Caenorhabditis elegans: one gene and its partners. The protein of the gene in region 4 interacts with the protein of the main gene of each other region in a pairwise test. Each region holds a gene or a part of one and is shown on either strand. Other genes may lie near its edges.

The links.
Region 1: the proteins of gldr-2 (region 4) and Y46G5A.15 interact in a two-hybrid assay, tested with the Caenorhabditis elegans proteins (one large-scale study listed by BioGRID).
Region 2: the proteins of gldr-2 (region 4) and dlat-1 interact in a two-hybrid assay, tested with the Caenorhabditis elegans proteins (one large-scale study listed by BioGRID).
Region 3: the proteins of gldr-2 (region 4) and ZK849.1 interact in a two-hybrid assay, tested with the Caenorhabditis elegans proteins (one large-scale study listed by BioGRID).

Annotation. Positions count from the first base shown.
Region 1 is NC_003280.10:12,781,272-12,788,115, forward strand, and holds Y46G5A.15 (uncharacterized protein), read right to left. Parts: upstream 4,146-6,844; 5' UTR 4,136-4,145; coding exon 4,048-4,135; intron 3,855-4,047; coding exon 3,801-3,854; intron 3,168-3,800; coding exon 3,102-3,167; intron 3,053-3,101; coding exon 3,008-3,052; intron 2,822-3,007; coding exon 2,759-2,821; intron 2,713-2,758; coding exon 2,683-2,712; intron 2,625-2,682; coding exon 2,538-2,624; intron 2,493-2,537; coding exon 2,170-2,492; intron 2,114-2,169; coding exon 2,054-2,113; intron 2,011-2,053; coding exon 1,921-2,010; intron 1,758-1,920; coding exon 1,749-1,757; 3' UTR 1,465-1,748; downstream 1-1,464. Other genes in the region: Y46G5A.34 (uncharacterized protein), read left to right, coding at 1-170, 291-370; alkb-7 (Alpha-ketoglutarate-dependent dioxygenase AlkB-like domain-containing protein), read right to left, coding at 5,111-5,291, 5,361-5,488, 5,768-5,941, 6,413-6,506, 6,763-6,844.
Region 2 is NC_003283.11:14,443,484-14,449,840, forward strand, and holds dlat-1 (Dihydrolipoyllysine-residue acetyltransferase component of pyruvate dehydrogenase complex, mitochondrial), read right to left. Parts: upstream 3,808-6,357; 5' UTR 3,805-3,807; coding exon 3,591-3,804; intron 3,532-3,590; coding exon 2,805-3,531; intron 2,738-2,804; coding exon 2,285-2,737; intron 2,236-2,284; coding exon 2,106-2,235; 3' UTR 1,840-2,105; downstream 1-1,839. Other genes in the region: F23B12.4 (ShKT domain-containing protein), read left to right, coding at 1,182-1,257, 1,305-1,341, 1,396-1,546, 1,594-1,718; fntb-1 (Protein farnesyltransferase subunit beta), read left to right, coding at 4,259-4,345, 4,395-4,553, 4,600-4,911, 5,136-5,332, 5,467-5,735, 5,779-5,960; F23B12.7 (uncharacterized protein), read left to right, coding at 6,231-6,344. UniProt on the Caenorhabditis elegans protein: The pyruvate dehydrogenase complex catalyzes the overall conversion of pyruvate to acetyl-CoA and CO(2).
Region 3 is NC_003279.8:14,181,449-14,189,022, forward strand, and holds ZK849.1 (PDZ domain-containing protein), read right to left. Parts: upstream 4,260-7,574; 5' UTR 4,148-4,259; coding exon 4,070-4,147; intron 3,577-4,069; coding exon 3,385-3,576; intron 3,283-3,384; coding exon 3,121-3,282; intron 2,671-3,120; coding exon 2,531-2,670; intron 2,479-2,530; coding exon 2,358-2,478; intron 2,312-2,357; coding exon 2,240-2,311; intron 1,623-2,239; coding exon 1,530-1,622; intron 1,477-1,529; coding exon 1,339-1,476; 3' UTR 1,147-1,338; downstream 1-1,146. Other genes in the region: gopc-1 (Golgi-associated PDZ and coiled-coil motif-containing protein), read right to left, coding at 4,413-4,488, 5,088-5,188, 5,237-5,401, 5,814-5,952, 6,011-6,144, 6,205-6,525, 6,572-6,682, 6,747-6,845 and 1 more.
Region 4 is NC_003279.8:15,033,390-15,041,972, reverse strand, and holds gldr-2 (PAP-associated domain-containing protein), read right to left. Parts: upstream 5,965-8,583; 5' UTR 5,709-5,964; intron 5,605-5,708; exon of another isoform or gene 5,599-5,604; 5' UTR 5,597-5,598; coding exon 5,470-5,596; intron 5,421-5,469; coding exon 5,309-5,420; intron 5,254-5,308; coding exon 5,067-5,253; intron 5,023-5,066; coding exon 4,703-5,022; intron 4,235-4,702; coding exon 3,966-4,234; intron 3,921-3,965; coding exon 3,705-3,920; intron 3,203-3,704; coding exon 2,575-3,202; intron 2,427-2,574; coding exon 2,179-2,426; intron 2,125-2,178; coding exon 1,932-2,124; intron 1,699-1,931; coding exon 1,572-1,698; 3' UTR 1,486-1,571; downstream 1-1,485. Other genes in the region: bltp-2 (FMP27/BLTP2/Hobbit GFWDK motif-containing RBG unit domain-containing protein), read left to right, coding at 50-88; cyn-5 (Peptidyl-prolyl cis-trans isomerase 5), read left to right, coding at 701-907, 957-1,364; F33H2.3 (Acidic leucine-rich nuclear phosphoprotein 32-related protein 1), read right to left, coding at 6,697-6,789, 6,845-7,441.

The DNA of each region.
Region 1 (6,844 bases), on a different chromosome or scaffold from region 4:
GTGCAAGAAAGAGAAGAACGAAGCGGCAAAACTGAAGCCACGTAACCTCGACGGAAAACCCGGTGGGCCAACTCCGGGCGGAGCCAAATCGGCAAACAAGTCTGGCGGTGCCGGCGGAGGTAGTGGAGGAGCTGGAGATGCTAATAGTCTTCTCAAGAATGAAGTCCAAGGTGGGTTCTATATTAGCAATTTTTGGGCGGAGTCTAACAGAGCCGCGATAGATCCATGGATGTCTACTGAACTGTGTTCGTGGACCTGGATTTTGTCGGCACTTACTTTTTTTTTTGCAGAACCACCGATGAAGGAGCGTCCGGCTGACGACAACGAGACAATCAACGACGCAAAGTCCAACTGGGGAACTGTTGCCTAACAGCTGTGAACTTTTTTGAAATTCATGTTTTTTCTTGTAAATTGAATGAAAGAAATGTTCTATTGCTCCGTGAGCACACCTATTGCCTCACCTTGCTATTTGGTCAAAAAGGTACACACCAGGGCAAATTGCCCATTTGCCGATTTGCCGGAAATTTTTATTTTCGGCAATTTGCCGATTTGACGTTTGCCGAATATCTACTTGTCGGTATATTTTAAAGGGTTTGTAATACCTGGTTACTTGATACCTGGTTATTTGCCGGAACATTTTCGAGGGATTTTTAATAAGACGGAAATACTTGAACTTCTCTACATATTTTTATAGAATTTACTGATTTTACAAAACTTTGAAATTCAGAAATTTCCAGAAATTTGTGCAAACCTGCAGTTTGCCGAAATTTTTCGGCACATCGGCAAATGGCATTTCTGCCAATTTGCCGGAAATTTCAATTTTGGCAATTTGCCGACTTGCCGGAATTTAATTTTCAGCTTCTACTTGCTACTTGGTCAAAAAGGTACACATCAGGGCAAATTGTCCATTTGCCGATTTGCCATAAATTCTTATCTCGGCAAATTGCCAATTTGCCGTTTGCCGGATATCAACTTGTCGGAATATTTTAAAGGGATTTTTAAAAATCAATAATTTCCGTTTTCTCTAGATGTTTTCATAGATATTTCAAACTTTTGACATTCTTAAATTTCCAGAAAAAAAGTGCAAACCCACAACTTGCCGAAGATTTTCGGCAAATGCCGTTTTTCCGGTAAATTCGGCAAATCGACAAACGGGCAAATTGCCGGTTTGGCGATTTGCCGGAAAAAATCGTCTGCGGCTTAGTAGCTTAGTAGTCATATTCGGCTTAGTAGTCATATTAGTTGAAAAAAATTCCGGCGTTCATAAAATTGACTGATTTTTCAAAATTTTGACATGAATTTTTTTTTTGAAATTTCCAGAAAAAATGTGCAAACCCACAGTTTGCCGAATTTTTTTTGGCAAATCGGCAAAGTGCCGGTTTGCAGAATTGCCGGAAATTTAACTTTACGCCGACAATTTCTTTGATCGCCCTGTGACCATGTGCTTCAGTAAAACGTCCTCTAAAAATCCGCATAATTAATTCACCAATGTTTATATCATAGAACAGAAAAAAACAAGAATTGAATAAAAATTCAGACATTGAAATTTGCATGTGAGAAAATACTTACTTGAATAGAATGAGAGAAGTGTGGGGAAAAAAAGTGAATACTGATTAATGAAATGGGATTTTCAATGGGATTTTTGGTCATGGTGGTAAATTGAGAAAAAGGAGGGAAAATGCATTTTTACAAAACAAGAATATAATAAAACCAAAAAGAAGATTAGGAGCCATGAAGAAGCCAATTCCTTACTCCATCTGAAAAATTCTTGAAAATTTGAAAATTTTGAGTTCAACTCGAATTTGAACTCGAATTTGAATTTGAGTTCTTTTTGTAAAAAAATTTGTAAAAACAATTTGAAAAAAATCTTGTTTAAAAAAGTTTTTTTTTAAGAGCACGACCTCGAAAAGAGAGTCCCACCTTTGAATTTCTTCCCTGCCATTTTCCGAGAGTATTCCGTGGTCTCAATTCCCTTGCTGACGTCTCTACCGGCTCGCGTTTGATAGCAATCTGAAATAGTAAGTTTAAAAAAGTTTCCAGATTGCCCATAAACCTGGTTTCGCTGGCGACTAGTCGAGATGGACTTTTTTTCAAGAGGTTCCGGAGTTGATTGCTGAATTTTTTTATTTCGATTAAAACCTTTAAACTTATATTAATCTGATAACTTACTGGATTCAGAGTTATTTCTTCGTCTTCAATGTACGCGTCCTCATATCGTCGAGCCATCTTCTGAGCCTCCATCCTTGCCAGCTTGATCTCTGAATCTTTCAGTGCAGAAGCTTCCACTTTCAGCTGCAACTCTTTCTGCACAAATTCCAGCGACTTTTTCTTCAACTCAAGCTTTGTCTTTCTTTCCTCTTCCTCAATCTCCATAAGAGCTTTCTCGTGGTGGATTTGGGCTCTGAGTTTCGCTAGTTCCAAGTCTTCCAGCTCACGAGTGAGCTCTCTCTTTTGTTGCTCAAAAGTGGAGTTTGCAACTTCTGGCTCAGTTTCTGAAATTGGAGGAAACTTGAGAAGAATATTTTCGTTTGATCTACCATTAGTAACTGGCTCCACCGTCTCCGTGGGCATCGGGTATTGCTCTTTTGGCTCATTCTCTAGAATCATCACTTCATCATCATGGCCTGAAATTGATTTTTTTAAATCTTCAACCTAGACTTCCTGACTTAAAAAATTGCTTACTTCTGTTTTGATATTGTGCGTAATCCAGTTCTGTAAAAAAATGCTTAGAAAATTGATTCAAAATTTTGAAAATTACCCGGTGACGTCGCCTGTCTCTCCATTTCTGGGGCTTCGTATGCTGAGCTTGAGGATGACTGGCCTGAAAAAAAAAACGCCTTTTGGAATATTATTAAGACCTGAGATGGCGAAAATCTGAATTTGCAGATTTTTCTAAAATTTCAGAAAGTTTTCAATGTGCCCTGGACCTATGCTAGACGTTTCACAAGATTTAAAAATTGTCTAGACATTTTTTTTTTGAAAAAATTAAAAATATAACCGCACTTACCACCGGCTTCTTCCTCAGGTTCGTTTTCTCTCGGGCGATAAGACTCTGAAGAATTATTTTCGATTTTTCTTTGAAACAATTTTTTTTAACTCACGGGAGCTTCTGAACGGAGCAAAAGCAGGCTGAGAACTGGGATGGTAAGGATGGTGGCGGTTCGAGTCTGAAATTGGGGTTTTGTTGGTAGAAAACTTACAAATATCGATAAATTTTGGGAAACGGCCAAGTTTTGGTAAGTTTGTAAATGTCGTTAGTTTTGGCAAATTGCCAAATTTTGATAAGTTGCCAAATTTGAGTAAACTGGTAAGTTTTTGTAAATTGGTAAATTTTGGAAAAATGCCACATTTTGGAATATTGCCAAATTTTGGAAAACTGGCAAAATTTGGTTAATTGTCAATTTTTGGTAAATCGCCAAGTTTCGGTAAATTTGCCGAATTTTGGAAAACTGGCCAAATTTGGTTAATTGCCTAATTTCGGAAAGTTGCCAAGTTTTGGAAAATTGCCGAATTTTGGTGAATTGGTAAATTTTAGGGAATTGCCAGTTTTTGTAAATTGCCAAATTTTGGTAGATTGCCAGTTTGCCAAGTTTTGGTAAACTACCTAATTTTCCTAAAATGCGTACTTTTCGAGAAATTTTTGAGAAAAAGCTACAACGTTGAAACACAAATAATTAAAAATCGATTAAAATAATAACTTTTTTGATCAAATTTCAAAATTATGAAAAAAGGTGTTTTAAAAAGTTTTACTACTCCCATTGACATTATAAAAATAATTTAATTTAGAAAAAAAAACTGACTCCTATTCGGAGATCTTCTGTATCGGTCACGGCTTTTCCTGGAAGTGCTCTGGTCTGAAATGGAAAATTTACTAATTTACCAAAATTTGGCAATTCACCATAATTACCTTATTTTTCATTTAGTAAATTATGGTTAATTGCCAAAATTAGGGAAATTGCCAAAATTTGAGTAAATTGGTTTAAAATATTGTTTTTTTTTCTTCGTGGCCGTGAAAGAGAAACCTCGGCCAAAATTTAACCAACTTACTAAGTTGCGCCAGCCTTTCGAGATCACGCCGAGTCTCCTCCTGGAACGCATAGCTTCCCGGGTGGAGAGTTCTACTAGATGAGCTCATGCTTCTAAAAAGTTTAAATGATTATTTTGATTTGAGAAAATATCGATTTCTCGCAAGCTTCCACGTGGCAAAAGTCAGTTTTCGAAAATACGAAGAAAATTGTTCGCTTGCTAGACAAAAATAAGAAAAAATGGAGAAAAGGTGTTGAAGAAGAAATAGTGAGAGGGGCCAGAGAACGAGACAAAAGTGCACGAGAAACAGAGAAATGTGTTCATATTGTTTATGTGGGTTTGGATGCGGAGGGAAAGTTGTTAATAAAACATGTTTTTTAATTGATTTGTTATATAAACACAAAATTCTGAGAATGCGTAGTGCACAACATATTTGACGCGCAAAATATCTCGTAGCGAAAACTACAGTAATTCTTTAAATGGCTACTGTAGCGCTTGTGTCGATTTACGAGCGATATTCCATTTTCACTAGTTTCTTTGCAATATTTTCTCATTTTTAAGCTTCTCTATCGATAAGATAGAACAACCCGTAAATCGACACAGGCGCTACAGTAGTCATTTAAAGAGTTACTGTAGTTTTCGCTACGAGATATTTTGCACGTCAAACATGTTGCGCAGTACGTATTCTTAGAATTTTGTGTTTCCGTAATATATTCGTACCTTCAAATACTGCTAATTTTCTGTGCTGGAGAAGTTATTATAACATTGTGTTATTAACCAGAAGCTAAATTTTGCGCCAAAATACGGTACCAGGTCTCGACGCGACAAATTCTGGTTTGATCGAAAAAGCTGTGCGCCTTTAAATAGTACTGTAGTTTGAAATTTCTCTGAAAATCGATAAAAACTATAGTACTCTTTAAAGGCGCGCCCCTTTTTGCATTTAACAAAAATCTGTCGTGTCGAGACCATGTTTGGCGCTAAAATCGCAATATTTCGCCTCTAGATAATAATGAAATACAAAAATATAATTAATTGTTTATTAATTGCAACAATTTATTCTAAGAACCACAGGTAATAAAAACAATTAAATTTCTTCAGGAATCGGTTTCAGCTTAATCTCCTCCTCAGCCGTCTGCCGATTCGCCACTTTCGGAAGATCTCTACAAATAATCGATATTCTTCGCTCCCTGGGCACTTGTTCTCCGTTCCACACACTTTCCTGCTCGCCGAGCACCTCATGTGTGAAATCGTATCGTCCGGGACCGCTGAAATTTTCGAATTTTTTAGATTTTTTAAAAATGTGGTGAGCAAGTTCGCTCTATGGCTAAACTCACCCTAATCGATATAAACTTCTTCTAGGCATCAGAAGATCCATAATCAGTTCATCCTTCTGATCCTTGTGCCGGAGCCGCATAATAGCGTCGGAGAGCAGGGAGACACCCGTGATGACGTCACCACAATACTGAAAATTTCGGATTTTTTTTGAATATTTTTGAGTTATAAGTTTTAAATGCGCTCTAATGATAATAATTGCCGAACTAGGCCATGTTGGCTCGACCATATCTGGGGTAGATTTACGGCGCGTTGCGTGTCGCGTCGCGGCTCGATTTTAGTTGTAAAACTAAATGTATTTGTCCGTGTGGAGTACACGACTTTCCCACGCGTTGTCCGGCGGGGGATTGTCAATAGAGCGCGAAAAATTCGATGAGGAAGCCCAGAACCCTGGTCAACTTGCACGCACTCGAATCGCGTCAATGTGTGGTTTGATGACACCGTCCTTGTGTAGATCCAAAATATGCACGTAGGTCAAATGTTCGGTGTTGGCGCCGAACGATTCACTCCGGATGCGGGAGATCACTTCGAGATTCTCGTCTCGCCATTTTCGTTGCTCACGTTCTCGGTATAGGTGGATGGCCTAGAAAATATGGGAGACTTTTAGGCCACGGGAAGCTTGCTGGTGGCCTAGAAATTCGAAATAGGTATTTCTAGGCCATGAATTCATCTGAAACCTAGAACACGATTTCTAGGCCACTTATTCTATACTGATGACCTATAAATCCAAAATTTCAATTTCTAGGCCATCGACAATTTACTGATGGCCTAGAATATTATTTCTAGGCCACCAATTCTATATTGATGACCTAGAAATCCAAAATTTTAATTTCTAGGTCATCGACAATATATTGATGGCCTAGAATAATATTTCTAAGCCACCAGTAATGTTTTATTGACTGAGAACTCTAAATTTCAAATTTTATGTCAAATTTTGGATTAAAACATATTTTATCCGAGATTTTCAATAAATTTTTTTTCACAAAACTATCATTTTTTGAATTTTGTAAATTTTAAATCTGTTTTCCTCATAAAAATGATCAAAAACTCCTACATCGTCCCAATGGCTCTTCTCGTACCGAAGACGCTTCATGTGTGGCTCAACGTCGACGAGAAGGCTTTTCTCTTCGGCTTCTGTGATGAAATCTCTGAAAATTTCGAAATTTTTAAGGTTGCAAGCGCGCTCCAATGCTAATAATCTTTTTTTAAACTTGCAAATACGCTCTACGGATAATTCCCCAGAGTTTCGCTGCTTCCAATTTAAATTCAAATTTTTTCAAGTTGCAATCGCGCTCCTTTGACGATTTCTCTGATTTCACCGATTTCACGTAAAATTTGAAAATTGTGGAGTATGCAAATCCGCTCTAATACCAATTTCGCTCAAAATTTCAAATTCTTGCCTACTTTTTAACATAACAGCAGGTTTTCATAGTTTCAGCCAAATCCTTCGGCCACAGTTCCAAATTATGAAATTTTATCAAATGTT
Region 2 (6,357 bases), on a different chromosome or scaffold from region 4:
GACGCATGGATTTATTGAGATGGGTCTCACCACGGGAAAAATTATGGAAATTTATGTTAATTGGTTTTTAAGAACGGTTTTGCATAAATACGCGTATTTATACACACTCTTTAGATGATTGAAGAAAATCTAGAAAAAATTTCACGCTCAAAAATGCAGTCTCGACAGAGGCCCCACGAAAAGGGGAGCAGAACAAAAAGGGGATCTGCAAAAAGGGGATCTGCGAAAAGGGGAGATACGAAAAGGGGAGATACGAAAAGGGGAGCACCTTGCCGTAAAGATAATGCACCAGCGGGTCTCGAAACTATCAAACCTTCGCAGCTACAGTAACCCAAGAATTTAGTTTTTTTTTGCAAAATTTGGCGAGTTTTAGAAAAGGGGAGCTGGCACTGTGCCAAACGCACAAAACGCAATTTTTCTCACGCAACGCACGTTGATTTTTGAAATTTTCTTCTAGAAGATACGCTTAACAACACGCGACGCGTAACATCGGAGCATCGTTGTATCGTTTTCTTCGAGAAAAATAGCGTTTGGCACAGTGCCAGATCCCCTTTTCGTTGCTCCCCTTTTCGTATCTCCCCTTTTCGTATCTCCCCTTTTCGCAGATCCCCTTTTTGCAGATCCCCTTTTCGTTCTGCTCCCCTTTTCGTGGGGCCTCTCTCGACACGATCGAAACTTCGTAGCCACCGTACCCGCAAGCGTTTTACTATTTTCTCCCTTCTGTATTTAAATTTTCAATTAATTTTATAAATGTTAAAACTATAAATTTCTTGAAAAATCATGAAAAACTCGCCAAATTTTGCAACAAAAAAAAACTAAATTCTTGGGTTACTGTAGCTGCGAAGGTTTGATAGTTTCGAGACCCGCTGGTGCATTATCTTTACGGCAAGGTATAATGTTTCAGTATTTATCTCAGTATTTTTTTTTTCAATTTCTGTTGTATTTGTATTCGTGGTAAGACCCATCGGAACAAATCTGTGTCCCTTTGAGAACGCGTTTCAGAAAATTTCGAAGCTACGATATTATTATTGAGTTGAATGAATGTGTTTTTTGAATTCTTGGAACATATTTTGAAAGCTCAGTTTTTGATTGATTTAGCATGTTGAGTGATGTCTGAGTTTTTCGGTTTCCGTGGTAGCGCGTTCATTTTCCTGTGTTCTAGTCCTAGTTGCCTTGTTCAGATGGCTTCCAACGTGGATCTTCTGGAGATGCTCAAGTGACTGCTGCACCGACAACACAAGCTACATTCACACAACAGTTCGTTTTTCACATATTGTAATGTCGGTAATATTGATTTTTTCCAGACCAACGTTCCAACAAACATTCCGACCAATTCCTGCGGTATTTTATATTTTCTTTTACTCTCTGATCTATATTATAATTGCAATTTTACAGCGTCCACGACAGCGAATTGTTGCTCAACAGCCACAATCTCCATTTAATCGTCAAAATGTGTTCATTTCAAGAAGACGTGGACAGAGTAACAGTTTTGCTGCTCAGCGGCAAAATGTATTCCAGCAGCCACAGCCGGCTTTCGGTGGCGGACGTATGTTTCTAGATCTAGGATATTGTCGAATCTTTTTGAATCTTCAGAATGCGCTGATCGTGATCCTCAAGGAAGATGCAGTCAGTGGCGTCAGTTCTGTGCTTCACCATCCCATCAGCAATACTTAACGGCGTTCTGCGCAAGAACATGCGGACTGTGTCGTCGTCATTGAATTCGTTTCTTGAAGCATATTGTTTCCTAGGGTCTCTCAACATTTTGCTCACTATTACTAAAGATCCGCTAGGCTTTTCCAAACACACTACGAGTTTCTGAAATTTCTGTATGACAGACAAAAATAATAAATCATTTTTTAAAGGAAACTTCTTCTAATAATTCACTTACACATACTACCGGAGAAATTAAACGATTAACTGGGAAACATGCCATGAAAAATGAGAAAAATAAAAGCGAAAATGGCTGTAGTGAAGAAAGAAAGAAATAATAAAATTATGACCTAGTTATACGCTATCACTTCGAGACTTTACGGAGTAAATTCGGGGGTCAAAATGGGTAGAGGAAGATGGTGAGATGAATTGGGAAACAATGAAAAAGCCATCGTTTAGAGAAGCATCGTGTGTGGCTTCTCGAGGAACTCCTTGAAGTGACGAAGCCAGACGGCTCCAACAGCTCCATCAACAGTCCTGTGATCGCATGACAATGTTACCTTCATAGTCTTAATCTTCTTATATCTGAAATACAAAAACTATATAACTCGATAAATTTCCTAAAAACTCTTACCCTTCAGCCTCGTCTGGGACCAGCTTATCAGATGCTCCTCCGATAGCCAAAATGCATGATTGTGGTGGGTTGATGATCGCGGTGAAATCAGATACAGATCCGAACATTCCGAGGTTCGAGACGGTGAAAGTACCTCCTTGGAACTCATGAGGCTGCAATTTTCCTTCGCGTGCTCTTTGCGCCAATTCTACAATTTCTGAGGCAATCGTGGCGAGTCCCTTAGCGTGAGCATTGAAGATAATTGGAGTAATAAGACCGGCTGGGGTGCTGACAGCTACAGAAACATCGACGTGATGATTCTCACGAATGAACGAGTCCATCCAATAGCTGTTGGCTTCTGGAACTCGTTGACATGCAAGAGCAGAAGCTTTGATGATAAAGTCATTGATTGAGATCTTAGTGGCTTGTCCCGATGTTCCCTTTGCAAGAAGACCGTTGAGCTTTTCACGAACCCTGAATAAGGGTAATTTTTGGAAAGGAAGACTCGGGTTTATTGTTTTAATAATTTAAGAAAACTCACTGAAGAAGTGTATCCAATTGAATTTCGCTGGTCAAATAATAATGTGGAATCGTTGATTTGCTTTCGGTGAGTCTCTTAGCAATTGTCTTACGCATGTTCGAAAGTGGAATATCGGTATAATCTTGACCAGATACGGCTTGAGTTGTGGTTGAAGTAGCGCCCTTTGCTGGAGCCTGGGAAAGATCCGAAGCGAGAATACGTCCTCCTGGTCCACTTCCAGAAACTCCGCTCAAGTCAAGGCCATTTTCAGCAGCAAGTTTCTTAGCGAACGGTGAAGCAGAAACTCTTCCCGATGATGAGTGTGGAATTGGTGCGGACTTTGGAACTGATGGTGCTTGATACATTTGTGCTGGGGGAGATGGTTGCGATGAAGCGGCTGGTTTTGCTGGCTCTGGAGCTTTCTCGGCTGCTGGAGCGGATCCACCAGATGAAGCACCATCGTCCTTGAAATCCTTGAAGGCAGCAACGTCAGCCTCGTTGTCGACGATAATACAGAGAAGCTTGCCAATTGGAACATCCTTCGATCCTTCCTGGATGAGAATCTTGGCAAGATATCCTTCTTCCGGAGTTTCGAATCCCATAGTGGCCTTATCGGTTTCAATCTCGCAGAGCAAATCTCCTTCACTAAGTTGATCTCCTTCTTTTTTCTGCCAGCTTACAACAGTTCCGAGTTCCATAGTTGGAGAAAGTGCTGGGAGAGCTACCCGATTGTGCTTTGGCAGATTTCCTGAAAAAAGGAATTAGTGGACAACCAGTTGGAAAATATAAATAGGAAAAAAGTCTCACCACTGCTATAAAGGCGAACTTGTTTAATACTGAAAGCTGCAGCATTTGGATATTGGCGAGCTACTTGTCCAACAAGTCCTGAGCTTTTGGCGGCAGCTCCGGTGCTGAGGGCCCGACTCGATTGTGTGAAACCGATGTTGGCGGCAGAAATAGCTGCTGTTGTCGAGGGACGAAGCCCACCAATCGTTCTCAACGGCACCGGGAACTTCGACATTACCTGAATATTTTTCAGTTTAAACAAAATTATACTTGTAAGAAAACGTAGAAATAAGATATTTAATACACATTTGCAAACAACAATAAAGAATATAAAATTGTAAAGTTATTAAATTTTAAATGGAATGAAAAGCTAATTTACAAGAAAACTTTATCATCTTTCTGCATACTCGCCTGATTTTCGTAGAGTTTTTGTTGCAATAACTGATTAAAAACTTTATCACAGACTGATAAAACGTCAGAATTCCTGATCAGAAAAGAGTGTTCAGAAAAATGAGAAAAGAAAAAATTAGACGGGGACAACGACACTCCGTTTTAAACACGCGCGCCTTGTTTATCACACCGATTTTTTTTTATTTTCGCGACGAAAAAAAATGTTTTTGATAGGTTTTCCCAAGAGAAGTGTGTTTTCTAATGTGTTCTTTTTGTAAAAATTGTATTTTATAACAGAGATGACATCTTCGATCCCATTCCGTTCGTTCAACGAGAAATATGAGTGTAACGACGATGATAATTTCACCTACTCAAGCACTGAACAGGTTTGTAACCCCGCCATGTAATTATCATGTACGATTATGAGTATTTCAGAAACGTATTGAAACAATGCTTTTCGAAAACTACAATTCACTGGTGTTAGAACCATTCAAGACCACAAGCGACGAAGATCTCGCCGAATTGACGATTTTCCGTCAGAAACATGCCTCGTATTTGCTCAGATATCTCAAAAACTGCCCGTCGAGCTACGCAGTAAGTTTGATTTGTGAGAAGTGGTTTTTAACATTACAATTTTTAGACCTTAGACGCTAGTCGTTCATGGATGTGCTACTGGGGAGTTAATGCACTTAAAATTTTGGACGCAGAAATTCCAAACGATGTTATCGAAAACATTATTGTTTTTCTTAAATCTTGTGAACATCCAGAAGGTGGCTATGGTGGAGGACCAGGACAATTGGCTCATTTGGCTCCAACGTATGCCGCTGTCATGTGCCTAGTGTCTCTACAAAAAGAAGAAGCTCTACGATCTATCAACAGAGTCACACTGTTCAATTTTTTGAAGAAGTGCAAGCATGAGAGCGGAGGATTTTATATGCACGAGGGAGGAGAGGTAATAATTTATTAATGAATATCTCTGGCAATGGTTCAAAAGCTCTAAATGTACTGAAACTCCTGCATAGACTTGATGAAGTCCTACTCAGAGTGAAACTTCTACGTACTCTTGCATAGAACTTTAGGATCCTTGCTGCACACTCTACGAATTGCCTCTAGTGTTGTTTTTTTTGCCAGAGATATCATAAAAATTCTGAGCTATCGAAAATTGAACATTTCCAGATCGATATGAGAAGCGCCTACTGTGCACTAGCAACATGCGAGATTGTGGGCCTACCTATGGATGAGATATCAAATGGTGTGGCCGAATGGATTATCAGCTGCCAGAGCTTTGAAGGTGGTTTCGGAGGAGAACCGTATACAGAGGCACACGGAGGATACACTTTCTGCGCGGTCGCCTCGTTGGTTCTGTTAAACAGGTCAGTTATTGTTATCTTTGAAAATGAGAAGAGACAGACCATCACGTGAACACCACATGTTCTTTCTTATAAAATCATATCAATTAAGTTAGTTCAGAATTTGAAATAAGATCATTGATCCTGATGATTTCCAGATTCCGTCTTGCTGATATGGAAGGTCTCCTTCGTTGGGCCACGCGCCGGCAGATGCGATTTGAGGGTGGTTTCCAGGGAAGAACAAATAAACTTGTTGATGGATGCTACAGCTTCTGGCAAGGTGCCATCTTCCCACTTTTGGACGGAGAAATGGAACGAGAAGGCCGATCATTGGAGAAAGGTCTTTTCGAGGCGCGAATGCTTGAAGAGTACATTCTTGTTGGATGCCAATCAGTACATGGAGGATTCAAGGATAAGCCGGACAAGCGTAAGATCCAGTTTTTATAACTAAAAATGACTTCAATTTTCAGCCGTCGACCTGTACCATACATGCTACGTTCTCTCAGGATTATCAGTTGCTCAGAAGTACTCTCTCGCTCGCGATGGGAAAATACTTGGTGGTGATGTTAACATGCTTGCTGAAATTAATCCAGTTTTCAACGTGACCATTGCTTCTGAACAATTTGCCAAGGAGTTCTTCACTTCTCATTGATCGTTCGATATGTATCCTTTCAATATGATTTCATTCGTTAATCTCGCTTCTTAAAGACGTCCCATATACGAGTTTCTTAATTCATATTTGCCTAAATTATGTTTTCCACCCGATTTTTTAAATATTTTTGTATAAAGTTGTAACAAAATTTTGTTTTCTGCTTCAAAAATTTCATAACAAGTTAACTTTCTCTAAGTATTTATTTTATGTCAATGTGCTATATTTATTAAACTGTATTTTTAAACAATTTAAGATTATTCATTGTCAGTAATGAAGCTGAAAAAACGTCCAATGAAGCTGGCGGCGAAACCAAAGCCGAAGCAGCCAACGGAGAAGCTGGGAAAAGCACAGAAGATGAAGCTGAAAGAAGATAATTTGGCTAGCGTGAGTGATTTTT
Region 3 (7,574 bases), 850 kb from region 4:
TCGGTCTAGAAATGAAGAAAATGATAGGGGAATTATGGGAAAGTATGCAAAAAACTCGGTTTTTTTTAGTTGAAAATTAGAATTCCCGCCAATCTGCAAGTACGCCCCATTGAGAAAGTATGCAAAAACCTTTTTTTTTTCGTTTAAATTTTAAGGGAACTAAATTAACCGCATTTCAAAACACCCGAAAAACTCAATTTTAAACTTAAAAATATAAAAAAAAATTCCCGCCGATCGCAAGCTGCAAGTGCGCTCTAATGAGAAAAATAGGATAATTTTGATTTTGAGGGGGTATTTGAGCACATTTTGTTATTTTTGAAAATGAAAGTTTTCTTTAAACCTAATTAACTAAAATTTAAACTCAAAAATTTGAATTTCCACTGACCGTGAGCTGCAAGTGCGCCCCATTGAGAAAATACGTAAACAATGTTTTTTCCAAGATATTTGAACTCAACTAACCATTTTTAACTAAAAGTTGTGTTTTAAAACACCTAAAAACAAAGTTTTCTTTATGAAAATTCAAATTCATGCCGACCGCACGTTGCAAGTGCGCCCCAATGAGAAAATACGCAAAAACTGAGTTTTTACTGGAATTTTCACGCATTTAGCTATTTTTTGAGCGCAAATTGTCTTAAACTTATTCGAAAAACAAGTTTTCTTTTTAAAAAATTTAAATTCTCGCGGACCGCATAATGCAAACGCGCCCCAATGAGAAAATAACTGGAAAATCGATTTTTCTTGTGATTTTCCAACAAAACCAACAATTTAAACTGTTATATTTATTTACCAGTTTTGCTAAAACCAAAAAAGTGCAATTTCGAACTAAAAATTCAAATTCCCGCGAAATTGCTGGAAAATCACGGTTCAGCGAAAATTTAAAAGGAATCGATAGAAGTTAATGTGAAAACAAGAGAAACAAGTTTTCCTATTGAAAATTCAAATTGGTATGTTGCAAATGCGCCCCAATGAGAAAATTGCTAAATTTTCAGGTTTTCACCACCAAATTTGTTGCAGAGTGTTCCCACAACAAAAAAGCAATGAAAAGCAGTGGAGGAAAAGCTCCCAGGAATCAATTCTCCCCGAAAACCTATAAAACTCAAATGAGCCACTTTAATTCCGTCTCATTTGATATCCCTGAGACGTAGACAGCCGCTGATTTTTATTTTTTAAAAAGGTTCAGAGGGGGGTAATCATGAGAAGAACGAAAAAAATTGGCGGCAAAACACAAAAAGAAATAAAAAAAAAATCGAAAAGAGACACACAAACAAGTCTATAAACTGTACGAGAGGGAGAGAATTAGAGAAAAATAAATTTTGCAACCAAAAAAAAAAAGACAATTCAGACATCCTCCCCCGAATCGGCTTTTCCCGAAATTGGTGTGCTAACAAATTTGTGACATTTCCCGTTTGGATGGGCCTCGTGGTACTTGGTCGGGTCGAATTGCGATACAATCAGCGAGATGAAATCCTTGGCGCTCTGGAAATTCAAATTTATATAAGGCTACAAGTGCGCTCTAATGCGAAACTCACCTCATTCTCGAGCATTTCCATAACCTCGGCGTGGGTGGTGGTGTTGGTCACGAAGGTCCCATCGATCGCCAAGATACGGTCGTTCACACGGAGCTGGAAATATGAAGTAGGGGTACTGTAGGGAGAGAGTACTGTAGGGAGAGGGATACTGTAGGGAGGGTGATGTAGGAATAGGGTACTGTTGAGAGAGGATACTGTAGGGAGTGGTACTGTAGGCAGGGGATACTACAGGGAGAGATACTGTAGAGAGCGGTACTGTAGGAAGGGGGTACTGTAGGGAGGGGGCACTGTAGAAATGGGGTACTGTAGGGAGAAAATACCGTAGTAAAGGAGTACTGCAGGGAAGGGCACATTAGGGAAGGGGTACTGTAGGAAGGGGTACTGCAATAAGGATGAACTGCTAAAAGAATACTATAGAGGACTGGTACAGTAGGGAGGCAGTACTGTAGGTAGGGGTACTGCTGGAAGGTTACCGTAGGAAGGGTACTGTAGGCAGGGGTACTGTAGTAAAGGAGTACTGGGGAAGGGGTACTGTAGGGAGGGGTACTGTAGAAGTGGGGTACTGCAGGCAGGGGGTACTGTAGTAAGGGTGTACTGTAGAAACGGGTACTGTAGAGAGAAATAACTGCAGTAAGGGGGTACTGTAGGGAGGGGTACTATAGGAAGGGAAAGGGTACTGTAGGAAAAGGGGTACTGTAGGAGTACTGTACCTGATCATCGTCCGCCATCGACCGCTTCAACTTCCCAGTGACCACGACCGGACGGAACTGATCACAACCTCCCTGAATAATTCCATTTCTTCAAATTTTTTGGCTTTTCGGCACCAACCGTAATCTCGAGCCCAAGCCCCTGATTGATATGCTCTCTCATGAGAATCACGAGCCGCGGAGAGCTCTGCCAATCGTCTCCGTTCTCAAATGCAGCATCACCAAGGTCCGACGAGTTGATCCTGGAAAATTTTTTGATGCTCCAACAAGTTCCCACAGAAATCCATCACCTACCGATTGATGAGCCAAAGCGTGTTGAGACGCAACAAGCGGTTCTCCTTCTCGATCTCGTCCCACAGTTTCGATTTGACGGCCGACTCGATCGTTGCCGCGTTGCGCACCAAATCCATCATCTGTCGCATTGCTGCCAGCTCCTGTAATGAGTCTCATGGGAAAGTGTGGGGAGGGGACATGATCATGTAAAAAATGATGATGCGTAGGGGCCAAAAATCTAGAAAAAAAGTGGGGGAAATGTCATGGTGCATCGACAAAATGTTTAGGCTGAAGCTTTGGCTTGGGTTTTGGCTTAGGCTTAGGCTTAGGCGTAGGCTTAGTATTAGGCTTAGGCTTAGGTTTAGGCTTATGCTAAAGCTTAGGCTGTGATCTAGGCTTACGCTTAGACCAAGGCTTAGGCTTAGGCTTACGCTTATGCCTAGGATTAAGCTCAGGCTTAAGCTTGGATTAAGGCTTAGGTTTGGGTGTAGGCTTTGGCTGAGGTTTAGGCTAGCAAAAAATGTGGCCAAAGTGGAAATCACCAATTTTTGGGTAACCAGAGCTACCTGAACCTCTACCCCACATGGTGCATCGACTAGGTAGAACCGTACCCTTGCGTAGAACCTGGTTGCCATGAGATGCATGACACTCTTCTTGGACACCTCATTGATATGCTTCGCCATCCGCTCGTTACGCCGCTTCTCCACGTTGAGCTTAGCCTCCACAAGACGGTGCTCCTGGATCCTTTCCATATTGTCACCGACTTCTTGTTTCTGAAATATTAAGCGTTGAAGTAGGCAGGTAGGCACGAAAGTGCCTGCCTGCCTAGTACTTGTAGGCACCTAGGTAGGTATAGGCAGGCAACATTCCCTCACCATATCATTGAAAATCTGCCTGGAAGTCGCGTCTCCCTGATGATTCGCGGCCAGCAACAAGTGGAACTGCTGGATGACGTCATCATGGGCTTCAGCTATGGCACGAAGCTCCACGAGCTCCTGGAGACACTCCTCACGCTCCTTGATTGCCAATTTCTTAGCGGATTCTTCACTGGCGGACAAAGTGCAAACCTGGAAAAATAGTTTGTGATAAATTAATAAATTATCGATTTTTCTCGTCATTGCCAAGTTTTCAATAACCGAGAAAAAGGAGTTTTGAAGTAACTATTGGAAACTTTTCAAATTCCCGCCACAGTTTTGTACCGGGATACCGAAAAGTCGATACATTATCGATTTTTTCTAAAATTTTTAAACTACCGCCCGACCGGGATTTTAAAGAAACTTTATACTAAACAAAATTCAAACCGTTTTTCGATATTTCGAGCCGGATAGCTAACAATTTTCACAAAAATCGATGATTTCTTACTGATTTTCAAAGCGAAATTTTTAAATTCCCGCCTGACCACGCCTACTTTTAGTCAGCGGAATATCGGAGTGTCGTTGGAGTGCGACGAAAAATCAATAATTTTTTGAATGACATTTGCCGGAAAACTGACATTTTTCCAAAAAATCAATATTTCTCCCAGAATTTTCAAATTCCCGCCCGACCGGAAGATCATATTACCTGCGTAAAAACATTCGAAATTGCCTTCAAATGGGTAATCCAGTCGTCCTTCTCATCGGAAGCCAGCGCCTTGGACATTGCCGTATTGAAGACAGCAGTAAGACGATTGATTTGTTGACACGTCATTTATTGATTTTTTTGCGGAAGAAAAATCGATAAACTCAAACAATAAAAGATTTTTATGCAAAAAGTTGGAAAAAGCCAAAAAAAAATCCAATGAGTTGGAGGAAATGACGTGGCAATTAGGGGGAGGAGGAAAGTCACGGGAAAATATACAAAAAAAAGTTTTTTTTTTGAAAAAAAAATTAAATAAAACCCGTCAAAAAATTCCACATTTTGGAGGTCACGTGCTGCGTGATTCATCAGAATTGTTGGACGATCGGCTTGACGTGGGCTCTTCCATACTGTAGAGGTTGTAGCTAAAACAAAAATTTAAAAATTTGACTGGGAATTCGAATTTTCTGTTGAAATTTGGCCGAAAATTTGAATTTCCCGTCGAAAAATTAACTAAAAGGTTGAATTTCCTATAGAAAAACGACAAAAAATTGGAATTCCCCGCCGAAAAATTCATTAAAAAGTTGAATTTCCCCCAAAAAATAGGCTGAAAAATTGAATTTCTTGCCGAAAATAGACAGAAAATTTAGAATTTTTTGTCGCAAATTGACTAAAAATTTGAATTTCCTATAGTAAAACGACAAAAAATTTGAATTTTCTATTGAAAAATGACCAAAATTTTGATTTTCCAGTTGAAAAATTAACTAAAAAATTAAATTTCCAGTTAAATGTTAACTGAGAATTTGAATTTCCTCCCTAAAACTGACTTATAACTTGAATTTCTAGCTCAAAATCAATTGGAAATTTAAAAATCCCGCCTAAAATTAACTGGCAATATGAAAATCCCGCCAAAAATTAACAGAAAATCAAAATTTCCAGCTGAAAATCGATTGAATATTTAAATTTCCCGCTAAAAACTAACTGGAAATTCAAATTTCCCGCCGAAAAATTCCCAATAACTCACATAGATCCATCGCTGTGCTCGATCGTCACCGTCCCATCATCATCACTATCCTCATCGGGGCACACAAAGACGAGCTCCAGGTCTAGGTCGCCTTGCTGTACCTGGAATTTGGAGGGGATGTAGGTGGAGGGCCCCTGGCAGCATCTTACCTGCCCACTCAAAATATCCACTGCCTCCTGATGCTTGACAGTCCGAAGATCGTAGCCGTTTACTGAGAGAATCGCGTCGCCCACAAAGACCTGTCCACATCGGTCAGCAGGCTGTCCCGGCTGGATTTCAGATATCACTATGGGTAGAGCGTGTTCGGATCCTCCCTGGAAATGGATTTTAGGATCCAGTAGGATTTTTTAAGATCTTGAAGAACTAGGATCCATCCGGAGCTCCGCAAACTATCTGGAGTAGTTTTGAGCTATGCAGCAGAACTACAAAAGCAGGGGTTGTCAGAGTGTCTCATTTTAGATTGATCTACATTGATCTACAAAAAATGCGGGAAAAGAGACGCAGACTTTTCAACTGACTGGGAGAAAAATTCCCGCATTTTTTGTAGATCAAACCGCAATGGGACAGCCTGACACCACGTGCAAAAGTACCTCATAATCAGATGGCACATTTGGTCTTACGGGAACTGGATCAACTCTCAGATCTTACAGGATCCCGTGGATCCCCAAAGGAACAAGTCTAGTCAATGATCTACTGGCCCAAAACCATCCAAGTCCCCCCACCTACCGTAATAGAAATGCCGAGCCCTTCGTGCGGGTGTTTCGAGAGCACCACTTTCCTGCTCTTTCCCACTCCATTTCGTTTTCGGAGGCTCTTGAAGTTGTGACGAAGTGGCGCCGTTAATCCCTTCGTGTTACCCCGTCCTCTGCAAGAATGGCAAATTGTTCAAGTGGGGAGCGGCCATGGGAAACGTGACCGCCTACCTGCAAGCCCGGATCACTGTCTTGTGCCTGTGGAGGTGAATTTCGGCTTCCAGCTGGTTCCAGAGCCTGTCGTGCTCCACGCCGCGCATGTTTCGTCCCAGGAGCTGGATTTGTTGTATCCGGCCTGCGAGTTCCTGGAAGATTAGGGTATGTAAAGCCTTGAAGCCTTAAAGCCTTAAAGCCCGATGGCCTACCTTATCCAGGTACTTTGCCGCCAGCCTGGCCCCGAAGACCTCAGTCTCCAAGGCCTGAATCGTCCGTTTTGACCGATCACACTCCTTTCTTGCAATTTCCAGCTCACAAACCGTGCTCAAACCCTGTGTAAGCTCTGATCGAAACTGTGTCAGCTGGGTCTCCAGCTTCTTCTTAATCATGTCTGACTCATGCGGCGCCGTCTTGGAATGCAGTTGGCATTGTAATGAGTGAACTTGGATCATCAACTGCTCCACTTCCTTCTCCATGCTCTGTCGAGCGGCGCGGGCTTCCACGACCTCGGCGCGCATTGTTATCATTTCCTGAAAAAATTAACAATCCAACTTTTTTCAGCAAGCCTAAACTCACCTTCTCCTGTTTACTAATTGTGTGCATCATGAACTGACACTTGTGCATCATTTGTGCAAAGCAGGCGCTCAATGACGTCATCTTCTGCCGGCCCTCGTAGGTGATCTCAACCTGGATACGTTAGGATTTTGTGGACCTGGGCTTGATCAGGTGGCCTGAAGTTCTAAGCTCTTACCTGGTCCGAGTCGACTTCTCCTAGCAGGAGATCCAGTGAGACGAATGCTTTGTCGAAGTCTTTCTCCAATGATTCTGTCCATCCTGAGCCACCTTCCATCTGGAAATTTTGAGGTTTTAGGGGTAATCAAGGGGAGGGCAGGGTTCCGATCAAAGTTTGGCTGAGTTGAAAGGATCAAGGATCCCGGCTAGTCATTAGAAAATTTGACGGCTCTGGCTTATATGGCCTAGCTGAGCAAACTGTTGTGAAAAGAGCCCTGATTTGGAATAAGGAATAAGATAAGCTGATCGGACCAAAAATTCGGGCCTAAATGGGCAAATACTTGGATAAATATGATTCAGGCTAAGCTGAAAAGGGCCCGGTCCAGTCAGTTGTCGTTTCAGACTAGGCGGGAAGTTTCAAGGTACCGGGCCTAGTTTAGCTCAACAATGATAGGCTTCATAAGTCTAGGCTAGTCAATGGGAAATCTAATTCGAATTATTGGTTTCCAAGAACGGATGGATCAAGGATCCGGGTTTAGCTAGGCTTGGTAGACTCAAACCAAGAGGATAAAAAAGCCGGGCTTGACTAGGCTTAGAACCTAGAAAGCCCAAATCACTCACCGCAGAAGCTTCACACTCAAAATACTCAGACTCCGGGTCCACCCTAAGCACAGTCTGGGCCTGAAGCCTGGCGCCAGAGCAAGCCGCACAATGGCTCATTTTTTTAGTAAAACACTAGTTTCGGGGTGATGATGATGATGATGATGATGATGATATGTGTGGAGAACTGGGTGTGTGTGTGTGTGTGTTTGTTGGAATAGGGTGGAAAAGAGCCGTCGGGGGACAC
Region 4 (8,583 bases):
GAAATCTAAAATCATAATCCTTCTCCACTACAACAATCGATTTTTCCAGACAACATACGATCAAAAAACACTGAAAGCCCCGAAGTGACGCCTCGCGTCCGGCCACTCATCACATTCTCCGATTAACGGGTCAAGGCCAATCGATCTTCGTCTCGTCTTCACCTCCCCCCCCTCGTCCCGAGTATATTACTGCGCTGTTGTTTGTGTGCATTTGGTACCACACTACCACCACCCCACCATACCGCCTGTCCTATACATTTACCAAATGGTCACTGGTCACCTTTTACTCGGTTTCCCCTTCTTTCTCTCGTCACCCTCCACTCACTCACTTGCAGTTTGCCCTCTCTATCGCTCTATCCACGTTGCACCGTGTGGTTTATGTGTGCTGACGTGTTCTTTTTCTTCGTCTTCCCTCTCAGCACGGGTCATTCTCAGAAAACTCATCTCAATTGTTCCTGCTGGTAACTGTTTTGTATTTATTTCTTCATTTTTAAGGCTTTACTTTTTCATTTTTAAACATAAAATGTCTAATGTACTCTTATCACCATGTCTTTTCGAATGTGGTATTTAATTATTGTTATCAAACAATTCGATATTTCGCTTTTTTCTTACTATTGCTTTTCTTACTATTTACATTTTCTTACTATTGCTTTTTTTTAAACTTTTTTGCTCGCAATATAACACCATAATTTTTGCAGGTATGAAGTCGCTTCTTGTTGTGGCGGCCGTGCTCGCTGTCGGAGCTCTTGCTCAGGGAGACGATGCCAAAGGACCAAAGGTCACTGACAAGGTCTACTTTGACATGGAAATTGGAGGAAAACCAATCGGACGTATCGTCATCGGACTTTTCGGAAAAACCGTCCCAAAGACCGCCACCAACTTCATTGAGCTCGCCAAGAAGCCAAAGGTTTGCAGCTCAAGAAATCGAGTTTCAAAATATTTTTTTTAATTTTCAGGGAGAAGGATATCCAGGAAGCAAGTTCCACCGAGTCATCGCAGACTTCATGATTCAAGGAGGAGATTTCACCCGTGGAGATGGAACCGGAGGACGCTCTATCTACGGAGAGAAGTTCGCCGACGAGAACTTCAAGCTGAAGCACTACGGAGCCGGATGGTTGTCGATGGCCAACGCTGGAGCTGATACCAATGGATCCCAATTCTTCATCACCACAGTCAAGACCCCATGGCTCGATGGACGCCACGTCGTTTTCGGAAAGATCCTCGAAGGAATGGATGTGGTCCGCAAGATCGAACAGACCGAGAAGCTTCCTGGGGACCGCCCGAAGCAAGACGTCATCATCGCCGCTTCTGGACACATCGCCGTCGACACTCCATTCTCTGTTGAACGCGAGGCCGTCGTCTAAGCTCAAATGACTTCTCTTTTTAAATATCGATCTGTGATTCTCCTGACTTCAGACACCTGAATTAAAGAGTAATTCGAGTTTCTTTTTAATTTATCGACTTTTTTGTGCGTTTCCAATTAAATAATATTACAAAGTATGTATTGATTAACACTATACGAACACTATAAGAAAAAAGAAGCGAATAAAAAAAAAGAACAAATTAACTTTTTAGTCAAATTCTGTGACGTTTACACCGAGATCACGCATTGTAAAATTTTTATTTGAAGAGATTATTTGGACGGCACAGCGGAAGGCGGATTTGATAGATTTCATGTGGCTAACATCGCGTACAGTTCTGAAAATTTAGTTTTTAGCTTATATTTCAGTGATTAACAGTCAAACCGTGTTTGAAGTGAGACAGGAAATTGATGTTTTCTTTTTTGGTATTATGAATTATAATCAACCATCTATACTATTTTAGATGTTGAGTTGAGCGTGAACACAAAAAATAATTGATTCAAAATCAATTTTTAGCCAAAAACTGAATAATCTTATCCTCGACACACGGTCATTTTTTCCAATATTCACCTGGCTGTGTTGATCGCATCAAACGGCTCCTCAACGACAATCGGACTGTTGATGAGATCACGGGGGAGATTTTCCCGAGGAATGACTTGACCCGAGCGGATTGAAAATCCGAAATTAGTGAAATCGAATTCATTATAGTACTGAAAGAATCCGATGAGCAACTCTCCAAGCGACCACGTGTTGGGAGGACTTGCTGAAAATGGTTAAATTTAGTAAGACAGATAATAAAAAGAGCACTTCAAATTACTGGGCAACTTGTCCGCAATATCGCCAAACAGAAGAAGCTCATTAAGCGGAAGTTTTCGATCAAACTTGTGCGGGAACAAGTATTGCAAGTTCGGAATGACTGCTGGAGTGACACCGCATTGAAGATAGTGCACAACGAGAAGAATCGTCGTGTAACTATTCAGAAATCCGTCCTGTGCGTTATTGATTCCAGTAACCATCGCCCAGTGCTTCACGAGTAGGGCCAGAGCTGGGAGCCGGGCATCCGTTCTGAAAATAGAAACAAATCTTGCAAATTTCATAATTGCGTTTCAAACTTGGCACACATTTTAATTTTTTCGGTTACAAAATTGAAGATTTTATCTAAATTCAGCCGAAATTTTGAAATATCTGATTTTTTGTTGAGAAAAAAACTAACAATGAATAGTAATGAATGAGATGTGAATTGTATATTCCTGCGATATTATTAACATTAATATCAACCTCAATTCCATCAAATTCTCCATTCAAAATCATTTTCACAATTGGAACTTTCGCCGGCACCAGCTGCATTGTCTTGATTATCTTCTTCAGAGGATGGCTCCAATGCGATCTTCGAAACGCCTTATCAATTTTGCGAAGAATTTTCGTCGAATAATTTCTGTCGCAGTGAAAATCGTCGCATACTTGTCCTTTATATCCATTTGTCGGAAAGCATAGACAAAGATCCATGTCAGAGTTGAAAGATCCACATCCGTTCACTGTTGAGCCAGTTGTCTGGAGCTTGATCTCTGTGTCAGGGAACAGCTTCTTGATCTCCGAGAATAGCTTTTGACGAGCCTCCATTTTCTTGAGAAACACAAAATCCGGTTGTGCATTTCCCAGGTAGTGATCCCATGCCAATTTAGACAATTGTTTGACAGAATTGAACGACTTTTTGGTGATCGAGTTCACAAACTTCTCGACGGAGCCAGCGATCCGCTCGTTGAGCACTACACCGATGGTTCGTGCCTGATAATTGACTGGCAACTGGCGAACTTCTCGGAAAATTTGATGCGTTTGGTGGCCTGGAAATAATTTTGTATTATATATTTGAAAATGGAACAGTTGGGCGAGTGTCGATATACGCAATTCGTGTACTCCTCGAGGAGGATCCTACAATTTTTGATTTCGGAGCAATCTTTTTTGTGTTGGTGTTAAAAATGTATGATTTTTCGCCTTAAACGCCTGAAAAGTTGATAATTTTCTCTCAGGCCGATTTTGTATCTAACGTGTTTTCTGGCTCCTTGCAGTAACCACCTCGAATTTCAACAAAAACTGGGTACCTGTGTATTACATGTCATCCTTTTTAAATTAGATGAAATGTTCATTAATTTCTCCATTTAAATTTAATTTTGTATGCACTTTTCCTCTTTAGGCTAAGAAATGGTTCTTTCCTAAGCCTACAGATACAAAACTATGGTACACGTTTTTATTTTTTATAATTTAAAAATACTTTAAAAACGAGGACATGTAATACACAAGTACCAAAAACTGTAAGGTGAGGAATACATTTCTCTCAAACTGTACCATTGTAGATCTTATTCTCATCTGAAGAACTGTTGGGAGTCTCCACCGAAATCACTGTGCTTGAGACCTCTTCTACACCGTTTCCTTGATCCCCTGCCTCAATTATCTGAATATCGTCATCTTCAAGCTCTTCCAGTTCGTCAGTCTTCTCCTCCTCGTCATTTGCATCCCACTCGTCAACTATATCACCTATTTCGTCCTCAGAACCTGAAACGTCTTGAATTTTTCATTAAGAAGCCTGCGATTGGACTTCTGACTTACCTTTTTTATCCGAAACTCCAGAAGAGGTGGTCATATTCAGAACAATGACGTCGTCGTCGTCTTCTTCTATATCCACTCGAGCACGCTTCATCGGTACAGCTTCCTTGTCTTCATCCTCAGATGCTTCAGTTGAATTCGCTTCTTCGTACTGCTGGACAAACTGGTTCGATTCGGGACGGGCACAGTAGACTTCTGTTGGACCGTGAAGCAGCTGTTGACATTCTCCAAAGTAGGTGTCAGAGTCGAGAGATGGAGATCGGCGGTTTTCACTAAAAAAATAGCATTTCATTGAAAGACGATTAGCAGCAATTTTTGTACCTTATGGGGTTATTCAAGTAGTGTCGGAAAATTAGAAAAATTACGTCACGACTGTATTCAAGTATATAAAAACATGTATTTAAATACATTTGTGACGTCACAAATGTATTTACATACATTTTGCTATATTACTTGAATAACCCCATTACATGTATTTTATTTTATTTTAAAAAAATTAATTTCCAACGGATTTTAAAATTAAATGTTAAGTTTAGCTAGATATATATCGGTTTGCTAACATGTCAAAAATCCTAGTAACTATACTCAATATTTTGAGTCTATTTTTACTAGAATTACGCATTTTCCCGTAATTTCAGAACAACCAGCGAAAAAATCGGGAATACATGAATTTTCAGCAATTTAATCTGCGTCGCGGGTTCGCATTACAATTTTTGACAAAAATCGCAGAATTAAAGTACCCCAGGCGCATTGTAGCTTCTTCGATGAGCTTCTTCTTCGCTCCGTCCATTTCTCGCATCTTGCGAAGTTTGGGCGATGCTTCGCTCGCAACTTCTCTAACGATAACAATATCATCACTGGATGATGATCCTGGAGCATCACTGGGGTCCACTGTTTCATTCGGCACGTCTTCTTCCACGTCATCATCATCATTTTTTAAAGTTTTCTTAGGAGTAACCGTTGTGTATCCAACTCCCGCGTTTTTTAAATTTGTCAGAACACGCTTTTTAAGCTCTTTTCCGCGTGCCCTCGCTGCTGGAGTCAACTCGAATTGAGTGCACTGAAAAACTTTTTTAAATCAAAATTTCGAAATGACGTTCAAACTCTGCTGATCGACAGAAAATCAGCTGCAATTGCAGCTTTGAATTGTTCAAAAAGTGGTTGAACTTGAGGAATCAACTCTTTTACTTCTTCATCACTTGCACAATTGAGAAGTTTACTTCTGAATCCATTAGAGATGTAAAGTTTGAAAAAGTCGAGCATTGCGTAACCTGCCGACTCGTCTGCGGACCTGAAATTTAAAAAGAATTGATTTAATTGCAATAATAATATGTAAATTTACTGACTGAGCGTCTTGGCCGGTTCCTTTTGAATGCAGACAACACGCTGGAATTGTGGCGAACGATATGAATCGCTTCACGTCAGCGTTCTCCGGAGGCTCTTCACCACGTTTGTTCACTGAAATACACATATATTTATTTATTTCTTTTAATTTTGTTAGTCTTACTGGAATCCATGTCCTGAACTAACAATGGGCATCCCAATTCAGTTCCCATGAATGTGAGATTTTGAATAATTGGACGGCGTGGTAAGCTTGGCTTTTTCGACTGTGACATTTTTCGTTTTCTCGACATTTCTGAAAGAGGAAATTTGATTCTTAATGAAAATAAACGCAGAAAACCTAAAAACTAAAAGAAAATCAACGTTATTGGGAGACATGTCTAGACATGAAAGTAGAAAACCTACATATAAAAATACAATCGAAGATTCATTCAAAGATGGAACGCAGAGAACCAGAAAACCTAAAAATTGGAAGAAATGGGACCTTTCATTTGATAAAGAACGCAGAAATCCTTAAAATTGTGAGAAAAAATATGCCTACGTGAAAAATGACCGCACAGCTGGATTTAGGAAGAAAATCGGTTCTTTTATGGAAAAATAAACTCTCAATACTTCGAATGTGGGAAAATATGAGCAAAACCTAACAAATTGGGAGAAATGTGGGGGAAAAGTAATGTGGACTGAAAGCGCTAAACAACACGCGCGCCCGTTATTTCGGAGTCTCGTTTTTGGCAATTTTTCAAATTTCGAGTTTATTGACTTTTGAAGTTTGCGCTACACACAGGCAGAACTATTACGGGAACAATAAATTCTGAGAATCCGTATTAATAGCGTATTGCGCAACATATATGACGCGTAAAATATCTCGTAGTGAAAACTACAATAATTCTTTAAATGACTACTGTAGCTGATACTTTCGAAACAAATTGTTTTTAGGATTGTGGCAGGCGATGTTTAATTTTCCTCTAATTTTTCGTGTTTTTTGTCAATTCGATGCCTTTTTTATAGTTTTCATCAAAAAATTAGAAAATAAACAACGTAAAATCTGATCAGCGCTACAGTAGTTATTTAAAGAATTACTGTAGTTTTCGCTGCAAGATATACATATGTTGCGCAATACGCATTCTCAGAATTCAGTGTTTCAGTAATATAATATGGTATAGAATGCACACAAAAGCCACAAAAGAAAATAAAACGATAGATTAATGTTAAAGATTTTTTATTCATCAAAAAGTTGTTGCAGTGTCTGGTGGTTTGGGTTCAGTTTTTCAGATCATTAAAGTTGGGGTTTAGTGTACAGCGCAGCCATAAAGAAAATGAGGGAAGTTTTTTTGGAAAAAATATTTGAAATAAATATATTAGGTTGAGATGATGAGTCCGTAGGCGTCGAAGTTTACTCGTCGTCGCCAGCTGCCTTCTTGTTGTCTGGCTCTTCTCCGTTATCAGAAGCTCCACGTTTTGTCCCACGTGGTTCAGCGTCTCCTCCCTGAAAAATTGAAATTAAGAACATACGTTTCTGAAATATGAGTCCGAAAACTAACCTCTGGAGCATAATCGTCAGTCTCGTCGTCGGAGAACTGGCTCTTCTCGAGATAGCTGAGTCCGGGTCCATCTTCATCGCCGCTTCCCTCCTCGCTGTCTTCTCCTCCCTCACCGGCAAACTCCTCCTCAACTTCCTCTCCATCAACATCGCATCCATCAAGAATCTTCAGCGATGGAATCATCTCGAACATCTTCTCACGATAGTCCTCGAGGAGTCCGAGACTTGGATTATTCGACAAGTCGAGCTCGAAAAGATTTGGAAGAACCTTTAAGCACCGGAGATTATCCAAAGAGAGCTTGTTGCTGGCGAGTGTGATCTTCTTAAGATCTGGAGCATTTTTCACAAGAACATCAAACGAAGCGTTGTCTCCAAGCTGATTGTCACTGATATCCAAATAGGTAAGAGCTGGAAGAGTTGGGAACCCGGCGAGTGTGGTGAGTCCGCACTTCACCATGCTGAGCATCTCCAAGTTGATAAGCTGGTCGGTGAGTCCTCCGATTTGTCCATCTTCAGCGTTGTCGAGGAATAGAGTATCGACAGTAGCTGGATCCCTCTCTCTGAGCTCTTTGACGTAGATTTCGGCCATAGACGGCATGATTGAGGATGTAGTCTGAAGGTAGAGGCATTAAAATAAAGTTGAGATGTAAGAGACAAGAGAGAAAATTAAAAAATCGAACAGAAAATGGAGTTTCTTTCCGAATTGGAAACAAGTCGAATAAAAAAAGCTATTTAGACGGTCACAATCAGTATAAAAATGCTTAGTCCATTTAGAGTCCAGTTTCTTACATCACGCACGAATGACTCAAGAAACACGGATAAAATCAATGAAACGATGGTGCAGCAAATTTTGGAAGGCTATGTTAAAAATTCCAAGCGAATAGACTGATTCTATTCGCTTTATATACGATTCTATAATGACAATGAACGCGCAACGCTCAACGAACGAACAAAATCGATACACTGCCAAGAAAAAAGGCCTAAATTAGGAGGAGAGCGCGCGAAAAACAAATTTGGTTGCGCGCGCTGAGAATCAAATGCATTAGCAGTGGAGCGCGTTTGTACACCACTGACGAGGGGAACATGTGAAGGTGCTCAGAGGAATAGCATAAGAGACTTATGTCAGTCGATAGACCATGTTTAGAAACGGTGATTTGAAAATTTTTAGCGGCGAATCTTCAGAACCAAGTTCACGGCGTACGCTCAAAGAAAGCGAAAACAACAATGTAACTGCAAACACTAACAAGGGAAGTAGACGAACTCAATCTCTGATTTTGGTATGGATAATACTATTTGATCGGAAAAATACCATGTCATGTCAAAGTCTGAGATTAATTTCATCTACTTCCTTTGTAATGGGTCAATTTTCAAAATTTTCCAGATATAAGCATAAAAATTGCATCAACAGCATTAACATATTTAACAATAACATTTACCGCACTTCACATGCTTTAATCTCAAACAAAGATTTTTTTGATAAAAAACTTTCAACTCCAAACGTGTAAAGTTGATAACTTTTCCATCAAAATCCGCGGAGACATGAGTTTCCGAAGTGAATATTGATCCCTAAGTGCTACGTTACAGTGTTGTTTTAGATGTCTTTAAGAGCATGTCGTGAGCTTGATTATGGAGACTTGCAGCTAAAAGTTTACGGATAACCGTTTCTAAACATGGTTCATCAAACGGCATAAGTCTCATATGCTACTCCGCTGGGCAGGTTTAGGGGCGGATCGAGGGCGG